Linked DNA regions of Saccharomyces cerevisiae S288C. The protein of the gene in region 4 binds, or shares a complex with, the protein of the main gene of each other region. Each region holds a gene or a part of one and is shown on either strand. Other genes may lie near its edges. A codon is read from its position in the direction of its gene.

Region 1 (6,055 bases), on a different chromosome or scaffold from region 4:
AGCCCTCAGTGTGATAAAATGCCATGCTTTCGGCCTCCAATTCGTCAGATATTATGCCTTGAAAGTCCTCATGTATCTCGTTATAAATGGCAAAAACAGGTTCGAAATTCCAGTGGTAAACATTACCTAACCCTCCAATTGTAACCACTTCCATAGGCGAAATGGAAGAAAACTCTATTTTGGACACTTGCTCGCTATAAAAGTGATGAACTTTGAATAGTTCATTGACTTTATTATGTCCTTGGTTGATATTTAACTCAGCATCAGCATCCCCTAAAGCGATAACTGCACGTATATCCCAAACCTTGAGAGCCCCACCACTAGTTCCCGTCATAAATAATGTATCAACAAACGGTGATGCAGCAAAACAAGTTGTTTTGCCGTCCAAAGAATCGTTTAGAATCCAAAGGGGCTTTTTGCCTATCTCATTACCCCAAAACCTTATGATACCGTCATCAGAACAAGTGGCGAATATTTGATTATTCAAAAACTTGATTTCTTGAATATTCTTTATGCCAGGAACAGGTATTGTACGAAGCACTTCTCCTATTTTACCTGAGTTGTCTATCAATTTTATTGTAGCGTTTTCATTATCAAGATGTTTTTCCTTAGTTACTGTTAAGGTTTTTGAATCGTTAGAAATTGCAAAATCAACACAGGGTTTATTTTGATTTCCGGACGATGCTGAACTTAGAGAAGTGGATGGCTCCATCATTGTGTAAACGGGCGATTTGACACCTTCTCTGAACCATGCCAAAGAACCATTGGTAGAAAGGGCTATCACCTTTACATTTATTTCGCTGTTATCCACGTAAATCATCTTTGCAATCGTTTCACCTTTAAATTCCCATTTTGGAATCAAAACAGTCTGCTCCACCTTTTGAGATTCCATGGTATAATCCGGTTGTACTAACGGTTCTGAAATGCTTTCAGGTTTTTTGTAATGAAGTCCGAGTGGCACTATACAATCCACCTCAAAGATTTCACTCCCTTGAGAATATAAAAGTGGTACGCTCAAAACACCTTTGGATTTATTACATGAGCTATCGTTAGTGAAAACTATACTCCTAAGTGTCGATGGAGATTCGTCAACGCCTGAGCCAAAGATAGGCTTCAAACTTGAAATATGTTGGTATAATGAGGGTATTGATTTTTTCCAAATTTTGAATTCTTCATTTTTTATTTTGTTGTCTTCTGCAATATCTAAAGTGCTCATTTTAAGTGATTAAAGAAGGAAATAAATACGATACTGAAGGTATGCGGCTGAGGAGTGGTGCTTTTTCATTCATTCGATCATGAATATACAAAGTATTGCTTGAAAAAATCAATATGCGCTTATTAAAATTTCGCAGCAAAATCGGCCGAACCCTTGCAAAACAGAGATAGCTCCGCTTTATTCACGTGAAATGGGGTCGAAATTGAAGACTATCCAAATAGGCGTTGCCTATGCAAGGACGCTCCAATTGATATATCATCACTACGAAGTATATATATATGTAGAAACTGATATTTGATTAGGCTCCAACGCCGTTACAAACCTCTTCTTAAAATTTCCTCATAGTATTGTATATTTAGTTGCTTTTTCCTGGCCTGTATCAGATGTTGCAACCTTTCTTGCATAGATTCTAAAGAGTCAATCTGCTGGAGGTATTGTTCCTGATTAGTAGACACCCAATCCAAATGTCTGTTACACTTCCACTTCGTGCATACCTCATGTATTTTGGTGGCTTCCTCATTACTTCCAAAATCTCTGACAAATTCTTCCACAGAGCAGGGTATTCGCTCGTATGTAGAACAATAGCCACATATATTTTTCCTAGCCCTACTCCTGCTGCTATTTTTCTTCTTCTTCCTTTTTGTCCCCTTGGAATCTTCTTTACCACATTCCACATGGCTTGCAGCATCATCGTCCAGCTTGCGCATTTCGGTATATACGTTGTCTAACCATCCCAAATATACTTCCAAAAGTTCTAGCTTTTTTTTGAATAATGGTAGCGATATCTCTTGAACCTCTTGCAGATCATCTTCAAGAGTTTTTAACGTCATGTCTCGTACAACAATTTGATCGAATATTTCCTTTTCGTCATCTGTTTTTACAACTATATTGTTATCAATGAAATCCAGTTGTCCAAATTTCTTGAATTTATCTATGTGTCCTGTTTGTTCGACCATTTTCTTGACGACTGCTCTATCCTCATCTGTTTTCAATCGCGACCAAATATCATTCACAAATTCTCTACCATGTTCCTCAGAACAGTATTTACTATCCTGTAAACATGGTTTGTAGCAATCACTTATCCTACATTTTCTTTTCCATAAGGTTTTTGGCAAGCTCCCTTCACCATTGATTATGGCGTCCTTATTCTTACCAGTAATCCCCGCTTGACAGTAAGGACAATAAAAAGAGAACACCAGGTCCTTAAACTGCTCAGGAATATGAAGGCAGGTGAAATGAAACCAGTCATCACAACCATCACATCCCACCATCAGCTCCCCATAGTCTGGCCTTTTACATATGCAGTATACGTCCTCTCCTGTAGTTGGATTTCTTTTTAAGGTGGAATGCGGTGGACACCATTGTGGTAATGACATTAGAAAGATAGGCTGAGAAATTATTGAGGTCGAAGTAGCCTTTTCCAAATCTCTTGTTTTTTTTCTTCTGATGAGCTTCGTTTACATTTAAAAGTAAGCATTTACAAAGCCCAATTGAAATTGTTCATATTTTACCCGCCTTGGGTTATATGCAGTGTCTAATATGTAGCCGAACATATCAATTGATTCTAAAGAGGTAAGCTTAATCCTCTGTGCTTTAATTCATCTTAAAAAGTTTATCTGTTAAGTCTATCGAATATCGCCAAATTTACTGGCGGTATATATAAATAAATATGGAAAATATGAAAGGTTGATAAAAAAAGTTTTATGCAGTGAAAAAAAGGAAGAAGAAAATGGATCCATCAGTGAAGAGAAGGATTCATGTATCTTCAAAGTCTGATTGACCTCTCCATCGACAAATTATTTAATAGTTTGTCATAGGTAGCAGTGACTTTGACTTCACAATTTGGGTCGTCAGTTGAGACTGCAGGCAATGTTTCTACGGATCCTTTATCGGTATTGGGCGCAGATACATCAGAATCCACGCCTGGTGTAAATGTCGAAGCGCTATTCTGAATGGATTCACCATAAATGTTCTCCAATTCTATGTTGTTGGAGTTAACGTTCTGAATCAAATCATCGATAGAATCAATACCTTTAGCCTTCATGATTGCCGATCTTAAGACAGCACCGGATGGAATTTTTGGTAAAATCTTAGGATTAGCTGGGCTAAATAAACTAGTGGTAGCAGTTTCATTGTTAGAAGTTGAAACTGAAGGAGATGAAGTTGACTTACCAGCTGTTTCTGTGTTGATAGGCGTATCACCTGATGCAAAAGGTGTCTGCCTTGTTGATTCATTTTCAGGGTATAAAGACCTCTGCTGCTGAACGAAGAAACCCCATTTATGTAGTTCACCTTCTTCTTCTTCCTGCTTTTTACAACCTACAGAAGTACTAGATGATGTATGCTTGAACACCAATGGTTTGCCTGTGAAAACGTCAATAGTTTTACCAGAATCGGTGGCCATTAAATGTGGTCTTGCTGTAATTACATCATTCTCAGGTTGTATTTTTTCTTCGGGAACATGGTATCCGGATTCAACGTGCTTCAATGCTGGTAATTTTGAATCTTCGCTGGAGTCAACACTTTCCTTCGAATCATCCCTGCTGGATCCAAGGACATCATTCAGATTCGGATTATGCGAAAACAATTCTAGTATATTGCATAAGTTTTGTTCCAAAAGGAGTAATCTTACAAGGTTTTCTTTTTCTTGCAATGGCAATTCACCTGATTTCCTTTTTTCGAACATAGTATCTATTGTATGCTGAACATTATGGTGCAAGATATGGAACTTTTCAATATATTTTTTCAGCAAATATCTCTTCGTGGTGTCTTTTTTGACCTTTGTACTCTTATCGCTTAACAAGTTCAGTTTTTCTAAAACACTTTCAGCGGTCATAGTTACTAAAGAGCCATCGAATAGCAAATCATCTTGCGAATCCAATTCATCTAACTGGAAAGTCGAATCCATGGTCCGTTTCATATTTCTCATCAAGCACAGTGCTATTCTTGATTGAATCTCTTCTGATATCAAATCATAGTCAAAATCTAAACCAATCAAGTTTGGAGAGTCTCTAGCAAATGCGTAAAGTGTGGATGAAAAACTATTTTTAGCAAATTGGCCCTTAACGTCCAATGTGCTCGAACTATCCAAGTCGCCGTCTGTGTTAGTTTGTTGAACGGGAGAATCTGTGCCGTTCATTAGATAGAAGTTTTCAACGTTTTGATTAGTCATTGACACATGCGAGAGCGATTTGCACTTAATCAAAATATTACAAACGACAGCTAGTTCCTTTAATGTCAAATTATTGCTATCCAAATGTATCCTCTTCAGGTTCGGAAATCTTGGTAAATACTTGTACATGTAGGGTAAAATGTCAGGAAAGCATTGCGACAAATTACTCAAATCCAAAAAAATCAAGTTAGGCAACTTAGAAAGATATTTCAAGAGCAAAGCTAAATCATAAGAAGTCGAAATATTAGTGCTGTTCAAAATGAAATATCTTAAGTTATCATATGATAGAGCAGATAGTTTACCAACCATTGGCTTAATCATAGTGGACAGATCATTAAACGCTAGATCCACACCCTGGACGTTATATTGAGACATCCAATTGAAGATAAATTTCAGACAATCCTGAGAGATATTGGAAGTAGTGGCACCTGCTAAACCAAGCCTGATGCCCGATTCTGGAAAGTTTTTTTGGGTAGCAAAGGATGTCAGTAAACGTGCAAAGCATGAGTAAGGAATTTTGCTAAATTGAATACCATTGAATAACAATTCTTCTATAGGTTTGTGAGATCTCTGAGACAAGACGTCAGTAAACAAGTTCCAATCCATGTTATGGCGATATAGTGATTCAGCAAGGTCAGATTTGATTTTCGTTTGGGAAATGTCGAGCTTGTTCAGTGATTTGTTTAGCAAAAGGAACTTACATAGTAATTTCCATCCATCTTGGTCGATTCGTACATTTCTTAAACTCAATTTGTCCAAAACTGTGGAGTTTACCAAAGCAGAAATAATTATTCTGAACATATCCTGGTTTAAAGCTACATTGTCGAAAACAATCGTGTGAATGGGAGCAATGGTGATGAAATCACAAAAGGAAAGAATATCGATCAAGGTAGGCTTAGGGTTCAAAAACTTCAATATTTGCAAGGGAGCTGTCTTGTCCTTTACTTGTCTTAGGGTAGACGGAATGGGTAAAATTTCCCTTAAATGGCAGCATCTTGTGTAAATAACATCCAGCGTAACTTCGTTATTTTCAATAGAATGACCGTCTTGGTACTTATCTTGATCAGGTTCCTTGAAATAGTGCTCATGCATATGAATGGGCTTATCAATGCCGGCTTTTGAGAGGTTTTCTGCAAGTTTATTATTCTCAAGCTCCCGATCAGCTTCAACATTTGGAGGTGACACCTCTTCTCTTTGCTTCGTAATGGTGCCTTCTGATGACTTTTCAGTAAGCTTACCGCCTGCATCCGAAGCAGTCTTAAAATTGGCTACTTCAAAGGCTATTCTATTAGCAGCAAAATGAGCTTCTTGCTGATGCTTAGCAGCCTCCCTTAAAGCCAACTTTTGATTTTCCAGGGCGAGTATATATTCTTTAGACTTCTTAGTGTACAACGGTCCCTTAATGTTGGAATTGGTTGACTTGGCCGATTGGTTGCTACTGGAAATACCCACGGAAATAGAAGGAACCTCGCTTATCATGTCATCAGGGATAAGGATGTTTCCCTTTTTTGGGGTTCTTGAAGGAAGTTGTTGGGGAGGATCGGATTCGAATTTATCGACGGCAAACGAGACCCTTTTCAATGAAACTGTAGATAGGTCTTTTACTGCAAGTGCAGGGGAGGGGAGTATAGGTGTCTGTGGCTTGCTAGCTGTTGGTGCCACTCCTC
Region 2 (5,376 bases), on a different chromosome or scaffold from region 4:
GAATGACACTACATACTTTGATACGGATGTTGGTATTTTTCCGGCTTTTTCTATTTTATCGATGCCGTGTCTGCTGCCATTACGTACAGGTAGGCAAAGGCAAACAAGAATAGCACTTTTTCACTTGCTGCTTTTTTTTGTGAATGAAGTTTATCGTATATTCTGTTAGTGCCGCTCGTATCAGCCACTTACGTTATCATTCTAAAGTAAGTATACGAAATGTGCAAACCTTAGTAGACGTTCAAGAATTGCTCGATAATTGCGAACAAACCAGCTGCTAAGCCGGGAAGTTAAGTCCTCAACACAGAAATGATGCAAACAATTTATTAAATTCAGTGGTAATGCAACAGCAAGAGGAAAGGTGGAGGGATTAACGCATTTCAGACAGCTTTATAGGGGGAAAGAAAGCACTCGCAAACTTGCTGCCTGTTCGCAGTCATTGGTTGCAAAAACTAAACTCTACTCACGCACACTGGAATGAATGGCAATATTCTTTTTTAGGTTAACCGGCCGGACAGTAATATAGTAATCGTTTTGTACGTTTTTCAAGAAGCGACGCACAACTGTTTTCCATTTTTTTTTTTTTTTTTTCAGTGATCATCGTCCATGAAAAAAATTTTTCATTTGTCTCTTTCGTGCTTCCTGGATATATAAAATACGATTTATTTAGTTGTCTTTGTCAATCCTCATCTTTCTTTACTCATTATTTCATTTCGGTTTTGTCATCTCTAGAACAACACAGTTACTACAACAATCAATCATGTCTCACAGAAAGTACGAAGCACCACGTCACGGTCATTTAGGTTTCTTGCCAAGAAAGAGAGCTGCCTCCATCAGAGCTAGAGTTAAGGCTTTTCCAAAGGATGACAGATCCAAGCCAGTTGCTCTAACTTCCTTCTTGGGTTACAAGGCTGGTATGACCACCATTGTCAGAGATTTGGACAGACCAGGTTCTAAGTTCCACAAGCGTGAAGTTGTCGAAGCTGTCACCGTTGTTGACACTCCACCAGTTGTCGTTGTTGGTGTTGTCGGTTACGTCGAAACCCCAAGAGGTTTGAGATCTTTGACCACCGTCTGGGCTGAACATTTGTCTGACGAAGTCAAGAGAAGATTCTACAAGAACTGGTACAAGTCTAAGAAGAAGGCTTTCACCAAATACTCTGCCAAGTACGCTCAAGATGGTGCTGGTATTGAAAGAGAATTGGCTAGAATCAAGAAGTACGCTTCCGTCGTCAGAGTTTTGGTCCACACTCAAATCAGAAAGACTCCATTGGCTCAAAAGAAGGCTCATTTGGCTGAAATCCAATTGAACGGTGGTTCCATCTCTGAAAAGGTTGACTGGGCTCGTGAACATTTCGAAAAGACTGTTGCTGTCGACAGCGTTTTTGAACAAAACGAAATGATTGACGCTATTGCTGTCACCAAGGGTCACGGTTTCGAAGGTGTTACCCACAGATGGGGTACTAAGAAATTGCCAAGAAAGACTCACAGAGGTCTAAGAAAGGTTGCTTGTATTGGTGCTTGGCATCCAGCCCACGTTATGTGGAGTGTTGCCAGAGCTGGTCAAAGAGGTTACCATTCCAGAACCTCCATTAACCACAAGATTTACAGAGTCGGTAAGGGTGATGATGAAGCTAACGGTGCTACCAGCTTCGACAGAACCAAGAAGACTATTACCCCAATGGGTGGTTTCGTCCACTACGGTGAAATTAAGAACGACTTCATCATGGTTAAAGGTTGTATCCCAGGTAACAGAAAGAGAATTGTTACTTTGAGAAAGTCTTTGTACACCAACACTTCTAGAAAGGCTTTGGAAGAAGTCAGCTTGAAGTGGATTGACACTGCTTCTAAGTTCGGTAAGGGTAGATTCCAAACCCCAGCTGAAAAGCATGCTTTCATGGGTACTTTGAAGAAGGACTTGTAAGAAGTTTTGTTAGAAAATAAATCATTTTTTAATTGAGCATTCTTATTCCTATTTTATTTAAATAGTTTTATGTATTGTTAGCTACATACAACAGTTTAAATCAAATTTTCTTTTTCCCAAGTCCAAAATGGAGGTTTATTTTGATGACCCGCATGCGATTATGTTTTGAAAGTATAAGACTACATACATGTACATATATTTAAACATGTAAACCCGTCCATTATATTGCTTACTTTCTTCTTTTTTGCCGTTTTGACTTGGACCTCTGGTTTGCTATTTCCTTACAATCTTTGCTACAATACCATTTGCCCTTGGGAGCTTGTTTCAGGCCTACGCAACCATAATGGAACCACTCGAAGGGACAAGCCGGATTATCACAAGCCACCATTGGCCCATAAGATACATTCCTACAGAAACAATAAACCTCCTCTTGATTATTATTACCCTCTGTTACATCACCCTGGTTAATCCCAATTGTGGGGCTAGTTATGCTCTCTTTTCTTTCCCTCGATTTAGCCTTTTTCAAGTTAATCTTTAAAAGCAGTTTTGGCTCCTTATATGCTCCTGGTTCTTCTAACGTCAACTTCGACTTGATATTCTCTAGCGAAGAGTTGAAATTTTTTGTCACTGACTTCTGTATCTCTAGTTCCTTCTTATGCTGCTTTAAGAAATGAATCTGATCATCGACCAGATCATTAATATAAGTCGCTACCAGCAACAGATCCCTACAGGCCCTTTCCATACCAGGCTCATCCTCTTCATTCTTGAATAAGTCGATTGTTTGCATCAGTCGAAGAGATCTTATTAGTTCACATGGTAAATGATCCAAAGTGCTAAGGAAACTGTACCTGATATCCGAATCCGAGTTTTCGTTGGCGAGATGTTCCATTGCTGTAGACGAAAAAAACTTCCTTGTAAAGCGGATGTGCTAGCGCATCATACATTTCAGTTCTATTAAGACTTTCACAGATGCTGTTGTGATGTTCTGTGAGCCAATCCCAAATGTTTGTATAAGGACGGAAATAAGACGGAGCGCCACGTGACTGAAGATTTTTTTTTTCTCGGATTTCTTGGTAATGGGCGGCCGGTATTTCCGGCGGCCAAAAAATGCGAGGATTTGGTTGGTGGAGAGGGTCGAGCGCCTTTACCCTGCGTAGATACTAAGGGGGCTCTTTCTAGTATATAAACAATTTGAATAATAACGAGGTTAGACGTCCAACTGGATCCATAGACTATCTAAGCTTTTAGTAGAGGCCATTCGTTTTCTTATTAATCATCGGTTTCACAATCTTTCTTTGTTAAGCAACATTTTATACATTTTTGTACTTTATCTTCAAATATTAAGGACAAGAAAGAAAAAGAAAAAGAATCCATATTCTATATTAGTGTAACACTATTTTTCTTAAATATTTTTTCCAGTACTCCCCCAGTTTGATAAAAAGCATTCATTGAATTTCCCCACATTTGTGATATCTTCAATTGATTAGTTTGAACTAGTTCTGAAAAATAATATTTTACAATTTGCATTTTCATTACACTATATCATCTACTATTTTTTCTCAGAAGCGGAAGTTATAACTAATTTGACAATGTTTTCAAATCTATCTAAACGTTGGGCTCAAAGGACCCTCTCGAAAAGTTTCTACTCTACCGCAACAGGTGCTGCTAGTAAATCTGGCAAGCTTACTCAAAAGCTCGTTACAGCGGGTGTTGCTGCCGCCGGTATCACCGCATCGACTTTACTCTATGCAGACTCCTTAACTGCCGAAGCTATGACCGCAGCTGAACACGGATTGCACGCCCCAGCATATGCTTGGTCCCACAATGGGCCTTTTGAAACATTTGATCATGCATCCATTAGAAGAGGTTACCAGGTTTACCGTGAAGTTTGTGCCGCCTGCCATTCTCTTGACAGAGTTGCTTGGAGAACTTTGGTTGGTGTTTCTCATACCAACGAAGAGGTTCGTAATATGGCCGAAGAATTTGAATACGATGACGAACCTGATGAACAAGGTAACCCTAAAAAGAGACCAGGTAAGTTGTCCGATTACATCCCTGGCCCATACCCAAACGAACAGGCTGCAAGAGCTGCCAATCAAGGTGCCTTGCCACCTGATCTATCTTTGATCGTGAAAGCTAGACACGGTGGTTGTGACTACATTTTCTCTTTGTTGACCGGTTATCCTGATGAACCTCCTGCTGGTGTGGCTTTACCACCAGGTTCTAATTATAACCCTTACTTCCCAGGTGGTTCCATTGCAATGGCAAGAGTCTTGTTTGATGACATGGTTGAGTACGAAGATGGTACCCCCGCAACGACATCTCAAATGGCAAAGGACGTTACCACCTTTTTAAACTGGTGTGCCGAACCTGAACATGACGAAAGAAAGAGATTGGGTTTGAAAACGGTGATAATCTTATCATCTTTGTATTTGCTATCTATCTGGGTGAAGAAGTTCAAATGGGCCGGTATCAAAACCAGAAAATTCGTTTTCAATCCACCAAAACCAAGAAAGTAGTTGACAAAAAAATGAAAACCACTATTATTTAAATTACGGAAAAAAAAAAACCAATAAACAAAAAACATAATAAAAGAAATGAAAAAAAAGAATATTAGTAGAGCATACTGAATTGTTTTCAGAAAGAGAGTGAAAGGTAACAAAAATTTACCTACTTTTCCTTTTTATTTCTCTGGTTTCGTTTCTTTTTTTTCGGCCACCCTATTTATTTTTTCACTGCTTGTAAACAACGTCTCACTTCAATAGTGTCTCCTTCATGTACTGAGATACTGCTGCAAGCGAAATATCACGAATAATAATATAAAAAAAAAAAAAAAAAAAAAAAAAGATGTTTAAATGTTAACAACCTAACAGCAATAAAAAATAAAAATAAAGGTAGAAGATTGCAAGAAAGAAACTTTACAATATTTTGTTTGGATGCCCAACACCGGCGTCTTGGTGTTCTTCTATAATATTTATTTTATTTATTTTTTATTTATATATGTACATATATATTCCTATTATCTATTAAGAAAGTAAACTTAGTGTAAATCTACCACTGTTCCAAGGCTTTGGCCATCCACCTTCTCTTTCGTTCCATTAATAATATGACACAATCGTTGAGGATGCGAGCGAGACCGTTATGGTCGATCTTTGAAGTCGCCGCGTAACGCGCTAGTATTTTTTCCTTAAAGAGGCAAACACTTATTTTTCCCTAATAGGAAATCCCTCAAATCGGTTTTTTTCCATATTAGTCCCGTTCTATTGTCTGGTTTCATACCTCTAAAATTTCTCTCGCTGTTCCATCAATTAATACAATCAAGGCACAGCCAGCAAATACTAATAATTCTCTTAATAACTGCTTCCCCTTTGCAGCACCGATAAGGGATCTTTAAGACGGTCTTGAAAATTTTTCGTTAGTTCATTTTTCATTCTCGGAAGTTTTTTTAAATT
Region 3 (6,028 bases), on a different chromosome or scaffold from region 4:
AAAACTTTACATGCAATAGGAAAATACTAAATTTCAAGAAGGATTTGGTTATTGTTTTATCAAATATTTCTCATTTATTAGAGATCGCTTCGTCCATTGATTGCTTGTTAATTCTTATTCTAGTCATAAGTTTTGGTCAACCAAAACTCAATCCAATGGCGTCTTCGTCATCATTTGGCTCTGAATCTTTGACCTTCAACGAATTCCAGTTGCAATGGGGAAAATATCAAACTTTCGGTGTAGATATTTTGGCCAAATTATTTTCATTGGAAAAACCGAACCTAAATTATTTCAAATCAATCCTTCTGAACAAAAACACAGGTAACAACCTCTATGATCGCAACAGTAACAACAACCACAAGGACAAAAAGTTGTTACGAAGACTTTTGAATTTATACAATGATAACAATAAAAATAATAACAATAGGCACAACTTGCTAAATGATGTGGTTTCGTTTTTATTTTCTGCCATACCGCTGCAGCAAGTGTTATCGCAATCAGCTGATCCAAGTTTGCTGATCGACCAATTTTCTCCGGTAATTTCTCAGAGTCTAACTAGCATCTTAGTCATTGTACAAAAAATATTGCCGTTATCCAATGAAGTATTTGAAATCAGTGAGAATAATTCAGACAGTAACAGTAACAATAACGGCAACAAAGATTCTAGCTTCAATTTCAACAAGAATTTACCATTTGTGTGGTTGAGCTCTGAAGAAAATATTGGATCTGGACTATTGAAGTTAAGTGAGATAATATTGAATATTAACAATTCCACAAGTAAGAATACTTTGTTACAGCAACAAAATTATTCAAAGGTGCTCCTACCGTCAATTAACATATCCTGTGTTCAGTTAATCAAATGTTTGGTTGAAAAAAGTATTTGTTTTGAAAACTGCCTAAACAACGACCCGGAAATATTAAAAAAAATAGCATCGATTCCAAATTTGTTCCCCACGGATTTAGAAATTTTCCAGTTATTCACTAATCCATCAGTTGATATTCAAATAATAAACCAGTATCAATTACTTTACAATTTAAAAAATGATATCCTAACCAATTTGGAATGATGCGATTTTTTTAAACAATATTCTTTTACTGCTTATTTCTTCCTTGCGCACTATTTTCTTTTTATAAACCTATATAAAATGTTGTAACTAATATAATAGACCTTATGGAAACAATACAGTCGGAAGAGCGCCTTTAGTGCCAAAAGCCCAAATGAACGTATAGCTGCCATGAAGTCACATCTTGGGCGGCTCAACTAAACAATGGTTTTAGTAACTTCCCACTGGTCCCGTCGCGGCTACAAAAATTCCTTGAAATTGTATAAAGGAGTTTATGACTCCATTTCAGGCAGTAAATACAATTCATACACACCACACATACATTCAGAGTTAACGTTCGCTATAATAAAACGGTAGAGAGTCAGATGTGGAGTCAGCGTGGGGGGTGGGGTAACACTCCACCTTTGAAAACGGTGTGACTTCGCCCTTTCGATGGGAGGAGGTAAAGCTCAAATAGGACAGAATCATCCAAGAAAATTTCAAGCTGCCCACAAAGTCAAGATCGCTTCAGAAGCTGTTCGGCGCAGTATTGAGATGAATTGGCTGCATTGACGGTTCGGGAACCCATTCTACTTATCTATATATTCTGAGTACTTATCCAGAAAGAGAAAAAAGTCAGCTGGCGCCGTATTTTTTATCAAACCTAATTGGCTAAAGTAGAATTGCACGTCAGAGCTTACAAATTTTTCGATATCTATAAGGGGGTGGGGGGAAAGAATATGTATGCAATGTCAAACGCGTAGGAAAGCCAAGCTCAATTACGCGTCTCTTTTATTTTTAAACTATCAAATTGCCGCGCATGCTAGATGAATAAGGAAAAAAAAAGGGGGACGGAAAACATTGCAACCAACACATTATTCTTTAGCGGCTTTTTGTGAAGAAGAGGAGTTGCTTGCTCCATCTTCATCGCTGTCATGGCCATTGAGACGCTGTAGCTTCTTATCCTTCTTGTCTGCACTCTCATGTTCAGATTGATCCAAACTCAAATTCTCTAAATCATGTACAATTTCAAGTAATTGCTCTTTAGAGTTATCCCCCATTCCACCTTGGGCCGTAAGTATCTTTTCGAAATCTTCTTGCCAACCTAATTCTTCAACGAGTTGCTCGGCAAACTCATCCGAGTACTGATGAACTATTAAATCTGTAGGCCTCTTGTTAGCTTTAAAATCGCCCACCGTTTCCAAATTGCACAGAACTCTTTTTACCTTTCGAGGAATTTCTTCGGGCAGAGACGCAAAGGGATAAACGGCTAGTGAGGTGCCAACGACGATGACAAGAGGCTGCTGAGGATGTTTTCCAGATGTCGTGATTTTTTCACGAAGCCACTCTGAATCGTTTAACCAAGTTTCCGAAAAGGAATCCGGTAGATCTTCGCCAAAAAAAACTATTGCCGGCTTTACCAGTTCACCGCACACATCACACTTGACAAAATCCTTTATAGGATGCTCTGCCAGCTTGGATTTGAAAACCTGTGGGGGATAAACTTTACCACATCCGATACAATGACAGTGAGCAAAACTGCCATGGGCCTCGATGATCAGATCATCCTTAACACCGGCCTGTCTTTCTAAAGTGTCTATATTCTGGGTATATACTCTCTTCAAAACGTCTTTGTCTTGAAACAATTTCAAAAGATAGTGAAACTTAGAAGGTCTGAAATTTCCGGGATACAACTCTTTAGCCAAAGTGTAAAATGGCAAAGGATCCGATTGGAAAAAATCGACATCGAACACTGCTTCAGGGTACGGCAACTTCAACCTGGCCAAGTTATGGTACAGGCCAGTTCCCGGAGATCGGAAGTCTGGTATCCCACAAGAAGTGGATATCCCGGCACCCACCATAAAGATTACTTTAGCGTTGGGGTTGCTTTTCATATGAGCAGCGATCTTCCTAACCGACATCTCTGTAGAGGCGGTAGAAACAGACATCGAAACACGGAGAGATCGCGGTACGTCTGGTTGGTAGCTCAGTGACGGGCACAGATAGCGACATTTACTGATACAGAGACAGTTACGAAAGATGGAAACACATGCAGAGAATGTGGTCTATTCCTTATTCTTAAGATCGGCGAAGCTAACAGAGTTAATGCTGGGCCATAGCTGGACGGCAGAAAGCACGCAGGCAGGGGGCCTCTGCGTAGGGCGGGAGACGCCTCCGTAAGGAAAACGGCGCGGGAAGGGCGGCTTCTTACTACATTTTTTTGCCACTCCGGAACTCGCGCAGGGGGAAGACATATGCCCACTTTGGGAAATAGAAATGGTCATTTTAAGCTCAAGTGAAGCGAAAAAAGGAGGTATACTCCTTTACGCGTCACCCAATCTGGATAGGCACGTCAAACTCATTAGGTCTCATCAAGAACTAGTGTAGAAATGACGCTTGAACTCCGAACTTTAAACAAAGTTCTGTTTTTGTTTCTGTTTCTGTTTCCTGTTGCTGTCTCTGTTTCTATTTTTTTCGTATAGCTCTATTTCCCTTGTAGATAAACATATATAAGAATGCTATTATAGAAGCGTGTATTTTCCTCCCCCTAGCTTCAACCTGTAATTCCCTTCTTAGTAAAGCGAACTAGAACCAGTTTAATAGGATATAGAATGCTGCTGGAAAGATTGCACAAGAGATTACACGCCGGCTCTTCTAGGCGATCTCAAGAAAATAAGGACAAGAATTGCAAGCCCGAAGACGCGTTGCCCATCCAACCAGAAGCTCAACATCAAACTCAGGACCCTCAGCCGTTGTTAAATTGTGATTACGATGACATGATTGCATTTGACAGAAACTTGTCCACTCCCGTTTTCACTCCGGTAATGACTCCTATAAATAATAGCAGCTCCAATCAGGCGAAAAGCTCGGATGCCTCGTATTTTCCACCTTACCTCAATGCTAATAGAACCAGACAGAATAGCGCCTCTTCGCTGGCGAGTTCCGTTTCCGATTTCGCTCAGAATTTCAAACAACATACCTTTTACAACAATAACGCTCAATTCACTTCGTTCACACCGCAGTTTGTCGGCCTTCTATTAGAAGTTTACCAAAACACGTGCAGCGATCCTACGATAACTCCGTTTGATACTACAAACCCTCCCTCAGGAATATTGAATAGAGTTGCCAAAGCGGCTATACAGCAATCTGAGCTTCAACAATTGGATATCGGATGTGACAGAAATAGCTGGCTTTTAACATTGGTAAGACAGCGCTTGTTGCAAGAGGTCAGAAAAGACGGCTATCTTTCTCGTAACACTTCTTTAACTTCTTTACCCCCACCACCCCCACCACAGTTTTCTGAAATGCTTAGAGTTCCCTCCCCGTTTGTTAACGCAGATATTACCGATCCAATCCCCTTATCAAACACAAACTCGAATCCGAATGTAAGCTCTACTACCAGCCTGACCAACACGTTGAACTGGTATTCCTTACAAAGATCCAACGTCTCAATGAAGAATAGAAATGGCTCGTCCCAGTATATTTCAGAATTACAACCACAACCTATCTTAGCCCGCACAAATTCTAACAATAGTGTTAGCAACAGTAATGCCTTTTCTTTACTCACGCCAACGCCTACAACAGATTCCGCATTTAATTTTAACATAGCTCTGCTATCGAGACAACGTAGCAATATCATATCGTCCCCCTTAGCTAGTACTCGTTTACCTACAGCAAACGTGTCCACTGAAGAATCCTCTATTTTACCAAATGAATCATTGAAGCTAAAAAGAGATTTATTGCGTCTTAAAAGGTAAATAGTGCCGAACAGTCAGGAGCACACAATACATGACCTATAATGACACTATCTTAATGAAATTCTATTACACTTTCTCTTTTCTTCACATTCGATTAAGAATTTAATTTATTCCATTTCAAGTCTCATTCTCCATTTTCTGGTTGGCCATAGATGTATTATTTACAAGTCTGATAGATATAAAAGCGCCAAGTAAAACATATATACAACATATACATATACACCTCGCATCAATTAAAACACGTTCCTTTGCTTTCCTTTCTTTTTCTTTTTTTTTTTTTTTCCGATCTTTTTCACTCCAATGTTTCCATTCTTTCAAATACAACTTTCCTATTCACATTGCTGTTCTTACTAGTGGCCCATGCATCATTTAATATACCAGCCTTTCGTAATAGTTTAGTAACTGTTTCGCTAGGTTGTGCTCCCACACCAATCCAATATTTTGTTCTATCAAAATCAAGCTTCACGTCTTTAATAGGTACAACGCCCCTCTTCAATTCTCTCTTGGTCACTGGGCTGGGTACCGGCACGTAGGTTCCTAGTACCTCGATCGGTTTAGCATCCCTCGCCTTACGGGAATTAGCCACTACGATATTATAGACCGGACTATTTTTTCTTCCAAATCTAGCTAACCTTATTCGTACTAGACCACAGGTCATACTTGATAAACTCTATTACAATTTCTTAACGGAATACCAGTCAGAACTCCTCCGTTACTTAAGTCGTGTATATATTCCCCTTCCTTTTTTCTTACAACTGTTCTTGGTGTACTATTTCATTTTTTCCGTCCTGAATGATAGATGATCATAATTAGTGAAAATTTTTCTTTTCGCTGCAGTGTTTAAAATTTTAATTATATCATCTCATCTCATCGCGCAATTAGAACTTCCTCGGTCGCAGTTAATTCTCTCAGAGAAGAGTTTTAGTTTGAAAAGGTTCAACTTATTTTTTTACTGATTGAATTCAACCAGGTAATTTCTAGATTTTGAACAGCATCTCGCGAATTGAATCAGCAAATCTCAGAGTTCATCATGGATCAAGACAAAGTTGCTTTTCTTTTAGAGCTGGAGGACAAGCTGGCTAAAATTCGTTCCCAAGTAAACTCTAAATTGGAGAATCAAAAGCATATTGCTATAATATTAACTGCCGTTGAGGAAAATATTGCAGGTCAAGCTACAAATGATGTTTCAAAAAACATTGTAAATTATATCATTTCCTTTATGTCACT
Region 4 (5,058 bases):
AATGGAATCTATATTTCTACATACTAATATTGCGATTATTCCTCATTCCGTTTTATATGTTTCATTATCCTATTACATTATCAATCCTTGCACTTCAGCTTCCTCTAACTTCGATGACAGCTTCTCATAACTTATGTCATCATCTTAACACCGTATATGATAATATATTGATAATATAACTATTAGTTGATAGACGATAGTGGATTTTTATTCCAACAATTACTTTAACATGAATAAGCTCAAAGTAAGCCAGAACAATTACCTACAAAGAAGTGATTTCTATAAATTCGAAAGAAACGGCACTGAATGGGAATATATATTTGCATCAAATTCAGCTTGTCTTGATTATAATAATAATACAGCTGTTAATAATGATATAATTTCGTCACTTAATTATTGCATCAGTGATGACAGATATTATGAAACTGCAGCGATGTGTGTGGTTTTGAAATTATCTCAAGATTGCTCTTTTGATGTGAGGCTTCAACGAAGTGGAAATGGGCCATATAAGAATATCTGGGATATGCCTTGCGGAGAATTACAACAACACATTGGTTACAAAAATGGTATATGCTATAATAGTGAAAACACGGTGTTATCGGCAGTAGGTGTAGAACATCGATATCATAAAAGTGTTTCTCGTCTATAAGATAAATTTGTTGGCGGTTATAGTTCGAAAAAGTGTATTGGACATGTTATAGATCAGAAAAACTTGGATAAAAATTGATAAAAGAAAAATGAACCACAATACCTTTACATAGTATTTTAACTCATTATCCTCGTGAAATATATATATATATATGGATATATATGGAACTTTGTTGGAATGAAATTTTAATATCATCTATTTCGCAGCACTCATGTTACTATTATATCACATGCGGTGTAAGAGGATGGCATAAAGATTGAGAAACAGTCATCCAATCTAATGGAATGCACGACACAATAATGAGTGACAACATATAAAAGGAAGTAAGATACAATAATATTATTATGTATAACTATCGATTTCCTTTTGTGGATTCCTATATCCTCGAAAAGAACTTCTAGTATAATCTGTGTACCTAATATTACAGCCTTTGAAAACAATGGAATCCCAACAATTATCTTATTCCCATAATTCTCATATACAAGATACAAGGGAGAAGTAAACAATGGATACAAGGAGAAATATGGCGCTAAAGGCTGATTTAATTGGATTGTTCGATTCGAAGTCGCTCAATAGAATTTGATGGCTCCCTCAGAGTGCGGTTCAAATCATTCGGATACTTTGAAGAAAGGGTAATATATTGTACCTTTGAACATGAGTTCATGAGTTGAAAAAGGTAAAAATAATCTGCTAAAATGATTACTCTTCTCTAAGAATGTGGTCTTCCCCACCCACGTGATAGTAATACATAGGAACCGTTTTACTGAACGCTACATTACCCATCAATATAATATCATGATTTAGCCGCCGAATTTTATGTAACTAAAAGGTTGCGGGACTTTGAAGCCCAGGTAGAAGTGTTTCATTCACAGAAGGAGATGCCAATGTGCTATTATTATCCCTGTGTGGCGCACTATTCAAACGGATTTGACTGTTCTTCAAAATATCGTCATCGCAGACGCTAAGGTTGTTGGGAGAAGCCACAGTCATTAGATACGATAGTCTCATGATGACTTTTTCTCGTTTTTTTTCGACGTTTTAAGGTCGCGTCGAAGTTAGGAAGGTTAGTTCATTTACAACTTGTTTTTGAATACTTACTTTCTTAATCATCTATTTTGATTTGTTGTCCCTTAGGTCTATAGAACAGGATATCCCGCCGCGCAATTTACTAATGACCTACACTACCAGACAAATTGGTGCCAAGAACACCTTGGAATACAAAGTTTATATCGAAAAGGATGGTAAGCCAGTTTCTGCCTTCCACGACATTCCCTTGTACGCTGACAAGGAAAACAACATTTTCAACATGGTTGTTGAAATTCCACGTTGGACCAACGCCAAGTTAGAAATCACCAAGGAAGAAACTTTGAACCCAATCATCCAAGACACCAAGAAGGGCAAGTTGAGATTTGTTAGAAACTGTTTCCCTCACCATGGTTACATTCACAACTATGGTGCTTTCCCACAAACTTGGGAAGACCCAAACGTAAGCCACCCAGAAACTAAGGCAGTTGGTGACAACGATCCAATTGATGTGTTGGAAATTGGTGAAACTATTGCTTACACTGGTCAAGTCAAGCAAGTTAAGGCTCTAGGTATCATGGCTTTATTGGATGAAGGTGAGACCGATTGGAAAGTTATTGCCATTGATATTAACGATCCATTAGCCCCAAAATTGAACGACATTGAGGATGTTGAGAAATACTTCCCAGGTCTGTTGAGGGCTACTAACGAATGGTTCAGAATTTACAAAATCCCAGATGGTAAGCCAGAAAACCAATTTGCCTTCTCCGGTGAAGCTAAGAACAAGAAGTACGCTTTGGATATCATCAAGGAAACACATGACTCCTGGAAACAATTAATTGCTGGTAAGTCTTCTGACAGCAAGGGTATTGATTTGACCAATGTTACTTTGCCTGACACCCCAACCTACTCCAAGGCTGCCTCTGATGCCATCCCACCAGCTTCTCCAAAGGCAGATGCTCCAATTGACAAGTCTATTGACAAGTGGTTCTTCATCTCCGGTTCTGTTTAAAATATTTTGAATTGAAAATGAGACACCTACCACGTATGCGGCTTCAAGTTGTTTAATATGTAGCTATATATCGATTATATAACTGACTCATGAATGAATATCTTCCTGCTGCAATTTTTCTTTAACCACATGGAAAGCCATAAATCTTGCCTCCTACAAGGCCTGGCTTTTTTCGAGGGTATCGCCAGGAAAAACAAATCAATAAATGTAAAACAAATAGAACCCTATTTTTTTTTATTAAAACCTATATTTTTGTAATAAAAAATAACTATTATACAACTGTTAAAGAACCCAGTAAACCTAAATATATTGATTTATATTTTATTGTGTTTTTGTTCGTTTTTTACTAAAACTGATGACAATCAACAAACTATGATCTTTCACCTCTTAATCTTCTAGCCAACTTGATATCCTTCTTTTGGATAGTGACACGCTTGGCGTGAATGGCAGCCAAGTTGGTATCTTCAAATAAAGAGACTAAGTAGGCTTCGACAGATTCTTGCAAGGCACCGATGGCAGAAGATTGAAATCTCAAGTCGGTCTTGAAATCTTGAGCGATTTCTCTGACCAATCTTTGGAAAGGCAACTTTCTGATCAACAGTTCAGTAGATTTTTGGAATCTTCTGATTTCTCTCAAAGCAACAGTACCTGGCTTATATCTGTGAGGCTTCTTAACACCACCGGTAGATGGGGCGGATTTTCTGGCAGCCTTAGAAGCTAATTGCTTTCTTGGGGCCTTACCACCAGTGGACTTTCTTGCTGTTTGCTTTGTTCTGGCCATTGTTTGCGTTTATATATTTATGTTAGATGTTTTTCTTATTAACTAGAAAGAAAGAATATAAAAGGTTGAGGAAAGAGATGTATCCCGAAGAATACACAGTCTTTTATATATGTATTTCAACAAGGAGCCGTGGAGGGTACCAAAAAGAAAAATCGCCCGGGCATTTCGTTATCTTCCACGCTAAAAGTCAAGGAGAGATATTACGGCCAGGATCGCAAAGGTGCAGAGCAAGGAAATGTGAGAAATTGTGAGAACGATAATGTATGGGACAATGCGAAAATGTGAGAACGAGAGCAAAAATCTTTTTTGTATCTCCCCGCCGAATTTGGAAACCGCGTTCTGAAAACTTCGCATCTTCACATAGTAAAACTGTTCCGAGCGCTTCTCCCCATAATGGTTAGTGGTAAAAACCGAAGTTGTTTACTTTAGCAAATGCCCGCGAATACGGTGGTAAATTGCCACCCCCCCTTCCCCATTCATTGGGTAAAGACCAATTTGATGGATAAATTGGTTGTGGAAAAGGTCTAATTCTTTTTCCTATAAATACCGAGATATTTTTTCTATATGATGGTTTCCGTCGCATTATTGTACTCTATAGTACTAAAGCAACAAACAAAAACAAGCAACAAATATAATATAGTAAAATATGTCCGGTAGAGGTAAAGGTGGTAAAGGTCTAGGTAAAGGTGGTGCCAAGCGTCACAGAAAGATTCTAAGAGATAACATCCAAGGTATTACTAAGCCAGCTATCAGAAGATTAGCTAGAAGAGGTGGTGTCAAGCGTATTTCTGGTTTGATCTACGAAGAAGTCAGAGCTGTCTTGAAATCCTTCTTGGAATCCGTCATCAGAGACTCTGTTACCTACACCGAACACGCCAAGAGAAAGACTGTTACTTCTTTGGATGTTGTTTATGCTTTGAAGAGACAAGGTAGAACCTTATACGGTTTCGGTGGTTAATTTAGCTAATTCTAAGAAAACGGTAACAACAAGCAAATATTTGGGATTCGTATTCAACTGCCCGGTTTTTCTTCTACAAATATGAGTGTATTATAGCGGGTTTAGGAGAAATATGTACAATTATAAACATATAAAGGGTATTTAATTTAATTTTAATTGGGTTTAAACAGTTTGATTATTTCTGCTACTTACCGAACTTGCATGGAATAGGGATCGCTTGTCTGTAACTTACACGCGCCTCGTATTTTTTAATGATGGAATAATTTGGGAATTTACTCTGTGTTTATTTATTTTTATGTTTTGTATTTGGATTTTAGAAAGTAAATAAAGAAGGTAGAAGAGTTACGGAATGAAGAAAAAAAAATAAACAAAGGTTTAAAAAATTTCAACAAAAAGCGTACTTTACATATATATTTATTAGACAAGAAAAGCAGATTAAATAGATATACATTCGATTAATGATAAGTAAAATGAAAAATCACAGGATTTTCGTGTGTGGTCTTCTACACAGACAAGATGAAACAATTCGGCATTAATATCTGAGAGCAGGAAGAGCAGGATAAAAGGTAGTATTTGTTGGCGATCAAAAGGAACATTGATACTCCATATACTGATGGCCGGCAATTGTAAGCCCA

The links.
Region 1: the proteins of HHT1 (region 4) and SPP1 are in contact, whole or in part, in a crystal structure (PDB 6J2P), measured with the Saccharomyces cerevisiae proteins. Residues at the interface, in NP_009564.1 of Saccharomyces cerevisiae: Ala2 (codon at 3,462), Arg3 (codon at 3,459), Thr4 (codon at 3,456), Lys5 (codon at 3,453), Gln6 (codon at 3,450), Thr7 (codon at 3,447), Ala8 (codon at 3,444); in NP_015187.1 of Saccharomyces cerevisiae: Tyr24 (codon at 2,523), Asp31 (codon at 2,502), Gly33 (codon at 2,496), Glu34 (codon at 2,493), Leu35 (codon at 2,490), Met36 (codon at 2,487), Val37 (codon at 2,484), Gly38 (codon at 2,481), Cys39 (codon at 2,478), Asp40 (codon at 2,475), Asp43 (codon at 2,466), Asp44 (codon at 2,463), Trp45 (codon at 2,460), Phe48 (codon at 2,451), Glu55 (codon at 2,430), Lys58 (codon at 2,421), Val61 (codon at 2,412), Phe62 (codon at 2,409), Ser63 (codon at 2,406), Phe64 (codon at 2,403).
Region 2: the proteins of HHT1 (region 4) and YNG1 are in contact, whole or in part, in an NMR structure (PDB 2JMJ), measured with the Saccharomyces cerevisiae proteins. Residues at the interface, in NP_009564.1 of Saccharomyces cerevisiae: Ala2 (codon at 3,462), Arg3 (codon at 3,459), Thr4 (codon at 3,456), Lys5 (codon at 3,453), Gln6 (codon at 3,450), Thr7 (codon at 3,447), Ala8 (codon at 3,444), Arg9 (codon at 3,441); in NP_014707.1 of Saccharomyces cerevisiae: Tyr157 (codon at 2,345), Ser164 (codon at 2,324), Gly166 (codon at 2,318), Pro167 (codon at 2,315), Met168 (codon at 2,312), Val169 (codon at 2,309), Ala170 (codon at 2,306), Asp172 (codon at 2,300), Glu179 (codon at 2,279), Trp180 (codon at 2,276), Tyr183 (codon at 2,267), Leu188 (codon at 2,252), Lys189 (codon at 2,249), Gln190 (codon at 2,246), Ala191 (codon at 2,243), Gly194 (codon at 2,234), Lys195 (codon at 2,231), Trp196 (codon at 2,228).
Region 3: the proteins of HHT1 (region 4) and HST2 are in contact, whole or in part, in a crystal structure (PDB 7F4E), measured with the Saccharomyces cerevisiae proteins. Residues at the interface, in NP_009564.1 of Saccharomyces cerevisiae: Thr7 (codon at 3,447), Ala8 (codon at 3,444), Arg9 (codon at 3,441), Lys10 (codon at 3,438), Ser11 (codon at 3,435), Thr12 (codon at 3,432), Gly13 (codon at 3,429), Gly14 (codon at 3,426), Lys15 (codon at 3,423); in NP_015310.1 of Saccharomyces cerevisiae: Phe67 (codon at 2,794), Gln115 (codon at 2,650), Ile117 (codon at 2,644), His135 (codon at 2,590), Ile181 (codon at 2,452), Val182 (codon at 2,449), Phe183 (codon at 2,446), Phe184 (codon at 2,443), Gly185 (codon at 2,440), Glu186 (codon at 2,437), Asp187 (codon at 2,434), Leu188 (codon at 2,431), Ser193 (codon at 2,416), Ala227 (codon at 2,314), Val228 (codon at 2,311), Tyr229 (codon at 2,308), Pro230 (codon at 2,305), Glu236 (codon at 2,287).

The regions. Positions count from the first base shown.
Region 1 is NC_001148.4:289,836-295,890, forward strand, and holds SPP1 (Spp1p), read right to left. Parts: upstream 2,593-6,055; coding exon 1,531-2,592; downstream 1-1,530. Other genes in the region: UME1 (Ume1p), read right to left, coding at 1-1,216; protein phosphatase regulator GIP3, read right to left, coding at 2,982-6,055. UniProt on the Saccharomyces cerevisiae protein: Component of the Set1C/COMPASS complex that specifically mono-, di- and trimethylates histone H3 to form H3K4me1/2/3, which subsequently plays a role in telomere length maintenance and transcription elongation regulation.
Region 2 is NC_001147.6:443,926-449,301, forward strand, and holds YNG1 (Yng1p), read right to left. Parts: upstream 2,814-5,376; coding exon 2,154-2,813; downstream 1-2,153. Other genes in the region: 60S ribosomal protein uL3 RPL3, read left to right, coding at 761-1,924; ubiquinol--cytochrome-c reductase catalytic subunit CYT1, read left to right, coding at 3,514-4,443. UniProt on the Saccharomyces cerevisiae protein: Histone-binding component of the NuA3a histone acetyltransferase complex. Targets the NuA3a HAT complex via histone H3K4me3 to facilitate transcription initiation at promoter regions.
Region 3 is NC_001148.4:523,892-529,919, forward strand, and holds HST2 (histone deacetylase HST2), read right to left. Parts: upstream 2,993-6,028; coding exon 1,919-2,992; downstream 1-1,918. Other genes in the region: SWI1 (Swi1p), read left to right, coding at 1-1,067; CIP1 (Cip1p), read left to right, coding at 3,656-4,801; mitochondrial 37S ribosomal protein bS16m MRPS16, read right to left, coding at 5,094-5,459; mRNA-binding protein RRP12, read left to right, coding at 5,832-6,028. UniProt on the Saccharomyces cerevisiae protein: NAD-dependent histone deacetylase that is involved in nuclear silencing events. Derepresses subtelomeric silencing and increases repression in nucleolar (rDNA) silencing. Its function is negatively regulated by active nuclear export.
Region 4 is NC_001134.8:254,738-259,795, reverse strand, and holds HHT1 (histone H3), read right to left. Parts: upstream 3,466-5,058; coding exon 3,055-3,465; downstream 1-3,054. Other genes in the region: inorganic diphosphatase IPP1, read left to right, coding at 1,821-2,684; HHF1 (histone H4), read left to right, coding at 4,112-4,423. UniProt on the Saccharomyces cerevisiae protein: Core component of nucleosome. Nucleosomes wrap and compact DNA into chromatin, limiting DNA accessibility to the cellular machineries which require DNA as a template.